Macaca mulatta: one gene and its partners. The protein of the gene in region 3 interacts with the protein of the main gene of each other region in a pairwise test. Links are inferred from orthologs where the notes say so. Each region holds a gene or a part of one and is shown on either strand. Other genes may lie near its edges.

Region 1 (3,651 bases), on a different chromosome or scaffold from region 3:
TCCTGTTGCCCAGGCTGGAATGCAGTGGTGCAATCTTGGCTCACTGCAACCTCTGCCCCTGGGGCTCAAGAGATTTTCCTGCCTCAGCCTCCCGAGTTGCTGAGACTATAGGTGCATGCAAATGCACCTGGCTAATTTTTTGTATTTTTAGTAGAGACAAGGTTTTGCCATGTTGCCCAGGCTGGTCTTGAACTCTTGAGCTCAAGTGATCTGCCTGCCTTGGCCTCCCAAAGTGCTGGGATTACAGGTGTGAGCCATTGTGCCCAGACTGTTTTTCTTAAAACATGTAATTTAGATTAGCATGAAATATTTTACTATCATTTTAAAATTAATAATTCTTTCTCAATTTCTGTCTTAAATTCTTTCTTCTTTCTTCTTTCTTCTTTCTTTTTCTTTTTCTTTTCTTTTCTTTTTTTTTTTTTTTGTGAGAGGGAGTCTTGCCTTGTCACTCAGGCTGGAGTGCAGTGTCACGATCTTGGCTCACTGCAACCTCCATCTCTTGGGCTCAAGTGATTCTCGTGGCCCAGCCTCCGGAGTAGCTGAGATTACAGGTGTGCACCACCACGCCTGGCTAATTTTTGTATTTTTAGTAGAGACAGGGTTTTGCCATGTTGGCTGGGCTGGTCTCTAACTCCTGACCTCAGGTGATCTTCCTGCATTGGCCTTCCAAAGTGCTGGGACTTACAGGTGTGAGGCACTGCGCCTGGCCAACTGTTTTAATTTCTAATATGGTAAATATAAACATTTCTTATATATTTTCAATAATTGAAAAAGTATAAAGGAATCCTGAAATAAAAAAATTGGAGAACCATTTTATTAGACTGTGTCATGCCTTTAATTTTTTTTTTTTTTTTTTGAGATGGATTGTTGCTCTGTTGCCCAGGCTGGAGTGCAATGAGGTGATCTCAGCTCACTGCAAACTCCGCCTTCTTGGTTCAAGCGATTCTCCTGCCTCAGCCTCCTAAGTAGCTGGGATTACAGGCATGTGCAACCACACCCAGCTAATACTTTTGTATTTTTAGTAGAGACGGGTTTTCGCCCTGTTGACCAGGCTGGTCTTGAATTCCTGACCTCAGGTGATCCACCCACCTCGGCCTCCCAAAGTGCTGGGATTACAGGTGTGAGCCACCATGCCCGGCCTTGCCTTTAGATCTTTGCCTGTACCCCAACTAGAATACTATTTCTGCTTCTATATTTTCCTGGCAAATGCTTATATAAGCATTCCCCTGGCTCTTTTCTTCTCTGGAGTCACTCATTCCTTCTTGTATTTTCCTATATCTTGAAAACATTTCTTTTATTTTTCATGTTTTTGTATTGTTTAGTCATGTGTCTTTCTTACAAAACCATGAGCCTTCTCAAAGCAAGAACCCTATCTAAATAATCTCATTATTTCTAGTGCTAGTCCAGTGTTCCGTATAGAGGACATAACCTATGAATATTGTACATTGAATGGACCGAAATCAAAGGCCTGAATTTTAGCTCCAGATCTGCCACTAACTAGCTGTGTGACTTTTGGCAAGTTACTTGACCCCTATGAAACTCAGTGTCCTCCTGGGCAAAATAAGAGTATTAGACCAGACTGTCTCTAAGGTCCCTTCCCACTCTGATATTTTCATTTGGACTGAGTGTGTACATGGCATGCTAGTTTGGATAAATATCGGTGTGAATCCCATACAAAAATATTTGGCATTTACCATATTCAGTAATATAAACTATGTTGGGGTCTTCCTTCATTCCTTCCAACAAATTAAAAAATGGGAATTCTTGCCACTTTTGGTTCTGGGTCTTCCTTGGATATGTAGCACCATGACCCTCAGGTGATGACCCATATATTTATTGTGACCTGTTTGACTTCTAGGTCTGAGCACCATCACCCTCATCTTCTGCCTCTTCCCAGCTCACTTTTCAGTAGTGACAAAACCCTTTCTCTTACTGTGATGATATGGAAAGAAAAATGAGATGGGAACACATAGAAGCCCATGAGTTTTGTTCAAAAAAAATTTCATTCCCTTACCTTCCAAGAGCTGTCAGAGGCCTGAATCAGAGTGGACAGTAGGTCTTGGAGAATCACCATTTTCTGTTTTAGGACCAGCTCTCTTTGTAGGGCCTCCTGGGGGTGCGGGAACAAAGTGCAAGAGGGTAAGATTAGCCTGGAGGATCGGGGATAGGTGGGTGGAGGAACTGAGGGGAGAGGTCACATGCCACTTACTTTGAGGTAATCAGAAAGCTGGATGATTTCCTGGAGAGAAAGAACAAGGGTATTCAAAATGTCTCTAAGTCCCCTGAAACCCTGTGACATAAAACCTACACCTGGGTTGGCTTGTGTAGAGCAAACCTCTTCTGCTTTGGCTCTGACAGGGTCCATTTAGTCCCCATGTCTATGCTCAGTACCTCCTTGCCATCCAGGAAGAAGATGCCCCTCCATCCCAGCCAAGTTTATCGTGGAATTCCAGAATGTCAGAGCTTAATACTTTCTGATTCGACCCCTTCAAAGTGAATATGTGCTTACCTTATCCAGAACTGCAACTCCGTAACTGGAAAGAGAAGAAATTAAAAATAATGATAATGGACCAAAGAATCAAGTCAGGAGGCAGAAATCCCTTCTGAAGAGCCAGTAGGGTGGGGAAGGGCTTCCTCTTTCTTAATTAAGGTGGACATGAAAATTCATTGTGTTCTCTCTAGAGAGGAATGAATGGGATGTGAGAGGGTTAGGGTCAGGAACTCACTTGGTTTGCTGACTGGCATCATTCTTAATTGTTGGTCCTTCTGCCTTTGTCTGAGTACCTGAGAGATAGAGGATAAGTTGATTTAGAACTTATGGGAAGGAAATGAGGGAAGTGGGAAGGGGCAGGGACTCTCCATTGCCAGTGAGCTGGGACAGCTGTCTCAGGATTCTCTGCAGGCCCTGTGGAGTGAGGGAGGCTCTGCTCTTACCACGGTGGTGTTTGGGTGGCTTCTTGATGGGAGGGTCCTGTGGAGGAAGGCCCCCAGCCTGTGAGGAGAGGTGGTCAGTCAGATCCCTGCAGATGCCTGAGGGAGGAGGATGCTGGGCTGGAAGGACCTCAGAGCTGGTGCCTGCCACCTGGAAGGCAAGTGGGGAATGCTGAAAACCACTGCCTGGAGCCTCTTGAAAGATTCTCTTGATGATTTCAGAAGGAAGAACCAACCATCATGTCTGTTACGGACTGAATGTTTATTGTCCCCCCACCCAAATTTGTGTGTTGAAATCCTAACTCCCAATGTGATAGTATTGGGAAGTGGAGTCTTGGAGAAATAATTAACTCAGAGCAGGGAGCCCTCATGAGTGGGATTCGTGCTGTTATAAGAAGAGACATGAGAGCTTGCTTTCTGTCTCTGGTCTCTGCCTTGTGAGGACACAATGAGAAGAAGACCATCTGCACAGTGGGAAGAGTGCTCTCATCAGACACCAGATCTGCAGGATCCGTGGTCTTAGACCTCCAGACTCCAGAATTGTAATAAATAAATTTCTGTTATTTAAGCCACCCAGTCTGTGGTAATTCATTACAGGACAAGGACAATGTTTCAGGTCCACAAAATGAAAGTAGCCCACTCAAGCTTTCAGAGCCACACGGGCTTCTCCTGCTCCTGACATCCTTGTCCTGACTGGCAGGCATGGTCCTCCTCAGGCCA
Region 2 (3,651 bases), on a different chromosome or scaffold from region 3:
GTTGAGGATCTTACAATCGGATTATTCCTTGTCTAACATTACCTTACGATTGTTGGCACTGCCTTCTCAATGTTAGTGTTCGATGACAAGGGTGAATTCTGGCCAAATTCTTGCCAACTGTGAAAGCAGAAAGATGCTGCCTTAATAGTAGCTACCATCTCTTCATTGTTCCACAAGATGATTCTAGAAGTGTGAATGGGTTTTTTCCTATTTTTGGTGGTGTTTAGGTTGATTTTGATAACTCAGGATAAAACAGTCTTATTCATGGCTCAGTGTGTTTGGGGAGTTCAAGCCTCTGGTTTCTCTGAGTGTCCTTTCTTGGCTGATGACATTAGATACAGTTTACAATCTTGGTAATGGTGTGAGGCGGTCTCATAATGGTAATGAGGTTTGATATATAGCATGGAGGTTTGCCTGTTCACTGTGAGTAATTTAAGTGGGATTTACTAACATACTTTTATATTTCTTATATAAAAACTTGTACAAGCTGGCTGGGTATGGTGGTTCCTGCCAGTAATCTCAGCACTTTGGGAGGCCAAGGTGGAAGACTGCTTGAGGCTAGGAGTTCAAGACCAGCCTGGGCAACATAGTGAGATTGTTTCTACTATAAAACTAAAAAAAGTGTAGAAACTTATAAAAGCCCGTAGACACTTAATATGTAATCAGTGGCATATTATCCAGCTAATCACATCATCAGTGAGAATTCCATTTTGTTCTTTGATCCATATGTTGCTGTAATAATTAACAGTGTCTCAGTATCTGTAAGTAAACAATGATGTAGTCTGTAATCTGTGAGTCTTGGGTAGCTCCCTTTTGCTTGATAGCAGGAATAGATATTTTGTGATTACAAGTATTTCATGTACTGAGTAGGAGATAATACTTTTGCAATAATAATCGATTGTGGTGTATGTTTTACTACTGTGATCACTACTGGATTGAAATCTCCAGTCATCACTTTGCTGTGTGTTGGAGTGGCAATTTTAGTGTATTTATAGAATGGTAAATTTGGATGGGTCAGTTCAACAAGGCGTTTGAGAGACACTGGATTCTAAGCCGGGTTTTAAGGAGACATGAGTAGGCTTTAGGGGAGGGTATATTCAAGTGTGTGGAACCTGAGTTGAGAGGTAACTAGAATGAAGGAACAATTGCATGGGTTGTCATCTAACTTTTTTTTTTAAATTAAGACAAACAGTATTACTTTCCACTAGAGCAGAGTTTGGTAAACTATGGCCCATGGGGAGGGCACTCATTTGTGAATACGAGTTTATGGGAACACAGATTATTCAGTTAGTATTGTCTATAGGTGCTTTGTTTTACAATGACAGAGGTGAGTAGTGACAGACACCATATGGCTGGCAAGCCTAAAATATTTATTCTCCACTTTGTTACATTAGTACCAGATTGAGGAATTTATATTCTAGAAAAACACCACCTCGATATCCTCTCTTGTCACTTTTTTATATGTCCCTTGTTATTTGATACTTAAGGCATTGTGACTTGGAGATGACTGTCTTTACATTTTTATTGTAAATATATTACTATCATTTTTTCCTATCCTTTATGTATGACCTAGTGTGGTCAGAATAGCATACTTTAGAAGCTGAAGTGTTTATGGATTTTAACAATGAGATTAGAATGAGTTGCTACTTCGTTTCCTAAAGCAAGGCGTTTCTTTATTGCAGCATCCTGGAGACCTTGTATTGTGCAGGGTGCTCGCTCAATCTTGGCTACGTGTACAGATGCACGCCCAAGAATCTTGATTATAAGAGAGACTTGTTTTGCCTCAGTGTTGAAGCCATTGAAAGGTAAGTTTGATATATAAATGTTTACCTCACAACTGGTGTTTCAGAAAGTTAAGTTTGCAGAGAAATTGGCACGGAAGTGTCCGAACTAAATCAATACTGTTTCGTTAAATATATTTTCAAGTAATGATTTCTAACAAGCCAGTAATTTTTTTTTTTTTTTTTTTGCTTTGACCTGCTTCTTTATTTGGTATTGGAAAAGTCAGACACTCTAAATTGTAGGAGAAAACACTGTGAGAAATTTTTTTGGAATAAAAGTATATTCAGTTGTTTTTAAAAATTGAATGTAGTTTAGTAGGATTTTGCCCACCGCCCCTAGCTTTTTATTTTTATTTCTTTTAAAACTTATTTTTTTAAGATCTGGGGTCTCACTCTGTCACCCAGGCTGGAGTGCAATGCTGTGGTCATAACTTTCTGCGTCCTTGAACTCCTGGGCTCCAGCAATCCTCTTGCGTCAGCCTCCCAGGCAGCTAAGACAACAGGCGTATTGCCTGGGGTCTTGTGTTGCCCAGGCTGGTTTCAAACTCCTAGCCTCAGATGATCCTTCTGTCTCAGCCTCCTGAATAGCTGGGAACAAGTGCATGCCACCACACCAGGCTTGTATTTTAACCTTGTATCGTACGTCAGTTATGTTTTAGGGTCCTCTGAAAAGCAAATTGTGTCAGAAGATAAAGAGCTTTTTAATCTTGAAAGCAGAGTTGAAATAGAAAAGTCTCTAACACAGGTAATTTTATTCTGTACGTTTTGTATCTCTGTATGAACAATTTGTCAGTGAAGAAGTGCTTCCCCACAAACGATAATCCTCATAACGTCATCTGTCTTGATCGCAGGAAGAGTGTGCCTGTTTCATTTCAGGTGTTAGTAAAGTTGATTTTTGGGGAACTCAAATGAAGCTAAAGCTTAATCAACAAAATAATAAGGAAGACATTTCATGACAAAATCAAAACTATGTATTCTAATTTTGCTAAGCTAGAAATACATCTTTGATTCAAATCAGTATTTTGTTTGCTTCGATTCTTGTGGTATAATTAGCCTTGTTGTTGGATGTTAACATTTTGTCATGGCCAGATAGGTGAGATGGTGATGATTGTATAAAAGAGATGCAGATTGTAGGTTGAGAACTAATGTTGATAGAATTATGCTTTATTTTTAAAAATTTATGCCTGCAAATAGTTTTGGTAAACACTGAATATCTACCATGTAATGTATGATATATCCAAAATTGCATTAAGTGTATATCTTAATTATTTTTAACCATGTATAATTTTAAATGATATGTGTGTTTAATTTTTTATTTTTTCAATTCAATAGATGGAAGATGTCTTGAAAGCATTACAAATGAAGCTGTGGGAGGCCGAATCAAAATTGTCCTTTGCCACTTGTAAAAGCTGAACTCTAGTCTGTGTCCTCCATTCTGCCCCCGCCCTTCCTCCCCTTATTTGTTAAATGAAGCAACATACTGAGACGTCGTCTCTACAAAAAAAAAAAAAAAAAAAAAAAAATTAGCCAGGCATGCGAAACGCTGAGGTGGGAGGATCACTTGAGCTTGGGAGGTCGAGGCTGCAGTGAGCCTTGATCATGCCATTACTGCATTCCAGCCTGGGTGACAGACTGAGACCTTGTCCCCCCGCCCCGCAAAAGAAAAGACCCCAAAATTGTGGAATTACTTTTAGCTATATTTTATGGTAAAAAGTGATTGTTTCTCAAAATCCCATTTTAAAGCCGTTTTATGGTACTTGTTGGAATTAGGACTTAGGAGTTTTGATTTTGATAAGAAACTGGGATAATTTTCTGAACTTTTTTTCCTCTGTATCACATTTATTTACTATTTTTAAAAACTTTATTTGAC
Region 3 (4,253 bases):
TACAAAAATGAGCTGGGTGTGGTGGCATGCACCTGTGGTCCCAGCTACTCGTGAGACTGAGATGGGAGGATCGCTTGAGTTAGGGAAGTTCAGGCTGCAGTAAGCCGTAATCGTTCCATTGCACTCCAGCCTGGGTGACAAAAATGAGACCCTGTCTCCAAAAAAATGAAAACAAAAATCAGATTATTTACAAATAATAAAATTTGCTACCACTGCAGATACTCAAATAACAGTTTCAGGGACTGTGTTACAGTCTGTTCAGTTTGCTTCAAGTTACACTGGGAGGATGTGTTCACTGTTATTTGAAACTATATAATTAGAGATTTTCACGCTATAGAAAGTTAGCCAATATAGAAAACACATTGCTAAAACAATGCTCTAATGGTACATCCACAATTTTCTGAAGCTAGAATGAAGATAGATAATTATGTATTATTGGCAGGGCGCGGTGGCTCATGCCTGTAATCCCAGCACTTTGGGAGGCTGAGGCGGGCAGATCACGAGGTGAGGAGTTCGAGACCAGCCTGACCAACATGGTGAAACCCTGTCTCTATTAAAAATACAAAAACTGGCAGGGCATGATGGCACGCACCTGTAATCCCAGCTACTCAGGAGACTGAGCAAGACAATCGCTTGAACCTGGGAGGTGGAGGTTGCAGTGAGCCGAGATCGTGCCACTGCACTTCAGCCTGGGCGGCAGAGGGAGATTCCATCAAAAAAAAAAAAAAAAAAATTATTATTCTCTGCCCACCCCCACCCCATCTTTATTTAACATCAGGTCTCAATATGGACAGAGTCTCAAAAGCATGACAATTTTTACGGAAAGCATTATCATACAATGTATGACCTTCAGAAACCTAGCAACAATCAACTCGTTTGAATTGAAAACAGCCTGTCCAAAATGCCTTTTATTTACAAGGAAATTACTCTTTGCATAATGGTAAGAAAATCTATTTTCAATATTGTTTCTGGTTAACAGTTCTAAGATGGACTAATGACGCTGGAGTAATTACATGTTGGTATGTTGGTAATACATGCCTTTTTACCGAAATTCTACTGCTCTCAAAGGTGACATTTACAGAATTTTTAACTCTTCGAAGTTGATCATAAACATGGTCTCTCTTTGATTCTATCAGACTTCTTTTTCTACTTTATGGAGTGCTCAGAAACTTACGTCAGAAGTAATTTTAAGCTTTAGTAACCAAATTTATCTCAGCATGGTTTACAATGAAAATACGTTGTTTTGCAGATCTCATGAAAGCAGGATCTAAGTTTTACTAAGGTTCCTACTTATTTTAAGCTCCTTATCCAACTTCAATCTATTTAATTTAAAAAAAAATCAAAACAACTACAGTTTCAGAAGATTTAACAACTTCCATCTGGATCAAGTCAACCTCTAACCAGGGCTGGCCAAAGGTTTTGTTTCTCATGCACTCTAATTTTAAATAACAATAATTTTAATAATAATTTAGAAGAGATACTTCACTTGGTTCCCCTTTACTTCTCTTCAGGCCATGACTTAACGCTGCATTGTGCCCATCAACTTCATGATTTAGCAAAGACATTACCCTGTCTTTTAAGCACATTAAGAGCAACACAGTTTAGCTGACACAATGTTAACCAGCAACTCCTGAACAAGCTTCACAGTAAGATTTTTCTCATGACTGAGCAGCAGTTTTTATCCTAGGTGAGTTTGCTCAAAAATAATTGAGTAAGTAATCAACCAGCTTCTGGCATACCTTTGGCAAGTCACATTTTCTGCCTTGTTTTCTAGCTGAGAAGGGTATAAAAATCCCACGAAAAGAAACCAGAACTCCGAGCCTAGAAATGTAAATTATGATCCAAGCTAAGCCACTCACCAGTTGATTGAACCTAAGTATAAATCAATTACCCCCATTCCAGCTCCATTTCTCCATCGAAATGGCGATAACATAATCAGCTGCAACCACAAGGTGATGCGGTTTGAAAGAGATAGGAAGAGAGTTCTGAAGCGTGTAAAGGTGCTACGTAAATAGAACGTAATAATTAGTAGGGATAGAACTTTCACCTGCTTTGCAAAACTTAAAGGGTCATCTCGTGGCTTACAGCTCGAAAAGAGTCGAGCACAGGTAACCCGAGCCCGTTCGTGACACTTTCCCGAACTCCAAGGGGAGGATGATTAGCAGTTCTGGGCGGGAGTCAGGGGAATGCCAATCCGAGCCCAACGTGGGCTGCTCGCGCTCTCGCCCCCCATGGGAGAGACGCACTGAGAGATCGAAATGCAACCCCGCTTCAAGACACCCTCGCAAATGAAGGAATTTCAGGGAGGGGGTAGGAGGCGGCAGGCTGGGCGCGCCGCTGCCACCTCCGACTGGGCCACTCCTTGCGCCGCCAGCGCCCCAGCCCACGGTGCCACGTCCCGGCCTCCGTCACCGCCAGCCCTCACCCCACCCGGAACGGGGCACATCCTCCGGAGGCCACAGGGATCGTTCCCTTGCAGGCGCCCCTGGGGGGACCACACGTCGGACCAGGGAAGGGAGGGGACAGTTAGAGCGGTTGGAACAGTTGTCCCTGGGCTGGCCGCCCCAGAAGCCGGCCCGGCCCGGCCCGCCCCGGCGGAGCCTCAGACACGGCCCCGGGCCGGGAAGGCTCCCCAAGGGCAGGCCTCGGCGCCGCCGGCCCAGCGCAGCCCCTTAGGGAGAGGTCCCGCGGTGCAGGCTCACCTCCAATGTGTCAAAAGCGCATGTTCGCCGCCGCTCGACCCACGTCTCCGCTCCGCTGGCCTGGCCAGGCCCGCCCAGCCGCTCGGCTCAGCTCCCCTCCGCAGCCCCGAGCTCCACTCCGCGCACCTCCGCTCCCGGCTCCTCCCCGACACGTCAGGGACTGCCTGGGTGTCCGAGGCCATTCTGTGACGCACGGGGGCGGGGCTCGGAGCATGCGCGGCAGCCCGCGGGTATGCGGGGCGGGGCGGGGCGGGGCTGGTGCCACAGGGGGCGGGCCAGAGCCCGGCGCGCTGACGTCAAGCTGACGGCGTCCTTTTGCGCAGGCGTTCTTGGACTCTGAGACCGGCTGGTTATGGCTTCAGCAGCTCCCTGAAACTGCTATTCGGGAGAGTGGTTCCAAGACGGATGGGAACGTGCCTTCAGTTTTCCGGCCACCAAGGCCCTTCAAGTGTCCATGTGTCAGTGTTCCCGTTTATAAAACGAATCTCGGCTCATAGTTCACCTCCGAGTCCATTCCCCCTGCCTGAACACCCAATGGAACACCAGGGGCATTCTAAGCATCACTGCCACAAAGCTCTGTGTTGTTTTTACAGCACTTGCACTGCTTACATTTTGTATTTGTTCTCATCTTCCTCCAGTAGAATTCTAAGTTCTATGAGAGCTAGAACCTTTTATGCCTTGCTCATCCCAACAGATAACTTGGTTCTAGGCAAAGTGGACGCTCAAATATTTGATGAATGAATGGATTCGTTGGCACCAAGGGGATTTTATATTTGCCCATTTATATATTGTATATATAAATATATTTATATATTGTATATATCTGAGCATATATTCATTTTTGTATACATGCGTGTACATGTGTGTATGGGTGTGACTTTCTCCCCTCCAAGGCCCCTAAGAAATGGAGTCCTACATTTATATATGTATAATAACATATATTATGTATTTTATAAAATATATATAACATATTTTATATAATATATAACATATATCTATAAAATATATATTATATATTATATATTTTATATAATATACATTATTATATATAATATATAATTTCACAAATTTATAATTTCACAAATTTATATATTATATATAATTTTATATATTATATATTATATAAGAGATACATTTTAAAAACAATTTTAAGAACTTTGCTGTATATTATATGTATTATAATATGTAATATATTATACAATTATGTATTATATATTATATAATATATACTATATACATTATAGTATATACATTATATATTAGATATATACCTCTTACAATCCATTTTGCTTTTTTTTTTTGAAACGGAATTTTGCTCTTGTTGCCCAGGCTGGAGTGCAGCAGTGCGATCTCAGCTCACTGCCTCCCAGGTTCAAGCGAATCTCCTGCCTCAGCCTCCCAAGTAATTGAGATTACAGGCGCCTGCCACCACGCCCGGCTAATTTTTGTATTTTTAGTATATTTTTAGTAGAGACGGGGTTTCACCATGTTGGCCAGGCTGCTCTCGAACTCCTGATCCGCCTGCCTCGGCCTCCCAAAGTTTTGGGATTA

The links.
Region 1: the proteins of NDEL1 (region 3) and TRAF3IP3 interact in binary tests that used the Homo sapiens proteins (3 or more experiments, as listed by UniProt). The two-hybrid records come from large-scale screens. The link is inferred for Macaca mulatta from reciprocal best matches to the Homo sapiens genes NDEL1 and TRAF3IP3.
Region 2: the proteins of NDEL1 (region 3) and MIS18A interact in binary tests that used the Homo sapiens proteins (3 or more experiments, as listed by UniProt). The link is inferred for Macaca mulatta from reciprocal best matches to the Homo sapiens genes NDEL1 and MIS18A.

What each region holds. Positions count from the first base shown.
Region 1 is NC_133406.1:67,516,983-67,520,633, reverse strand, and holds part of TRAF3IP3 (TRAF3-interacting JNK-activating modulator), read right to left. Parts: intron 3,083-3,651; coding exon 2,935-3,082; intron 2,785-2,934; coding exon 2,727-2,784; intron 2,535-2,726; coding exon 2,510-2,534; intron 2,240-2,509; coding exon 2,210-2,239; intron 2,111-2,209; coding exon 2,015-2,110; intron 1-2,014. UniProt on the Homo sapiens protein: Adapter protein that plays essential roles in both innate and adaptive immunity. Plays a crucial role in the regulation of thymocyte development.
Region 2 is NC_133408.1:15,075,688-15,079,338, forward strand, and holds part of MIS18A (protein Mis18-alpha), read left to right. Parts: intron 1-1,682; coding exon 1,683-1,805; intron 1,806-2,429; coding exon 2,430-2,526; intron 2,527-3,113; coding exon 3,114-3,194; 3' UTR 3,195-3,651. UniProt on the Homo sapiens protein: Required for recruitment of CENPA to centromeres and normal chromosome segregation during mitosis.
Region 3 is NC_133421.1:9,937,997-9,942,249, reverse strand, and holds the start of NDEL1 (nuclear distribution protein nudE-like 1), read right to left. Parts: upstream 2,895-4,253; 5' UTR 2,885-2,894; coding exon 2,795-2,884; exon of another isoform or gene 2,763-2,794; coding exon 2,703-2,762; intron 1-2,702. UniProt on the Homo sapiens protein: Required for organization of the cellular microtubule array and microtubule anchoring at the centrosome. May regulate microtubule organization at least in part by targeting the microtubule severing protein KATNA1 to the centrosome.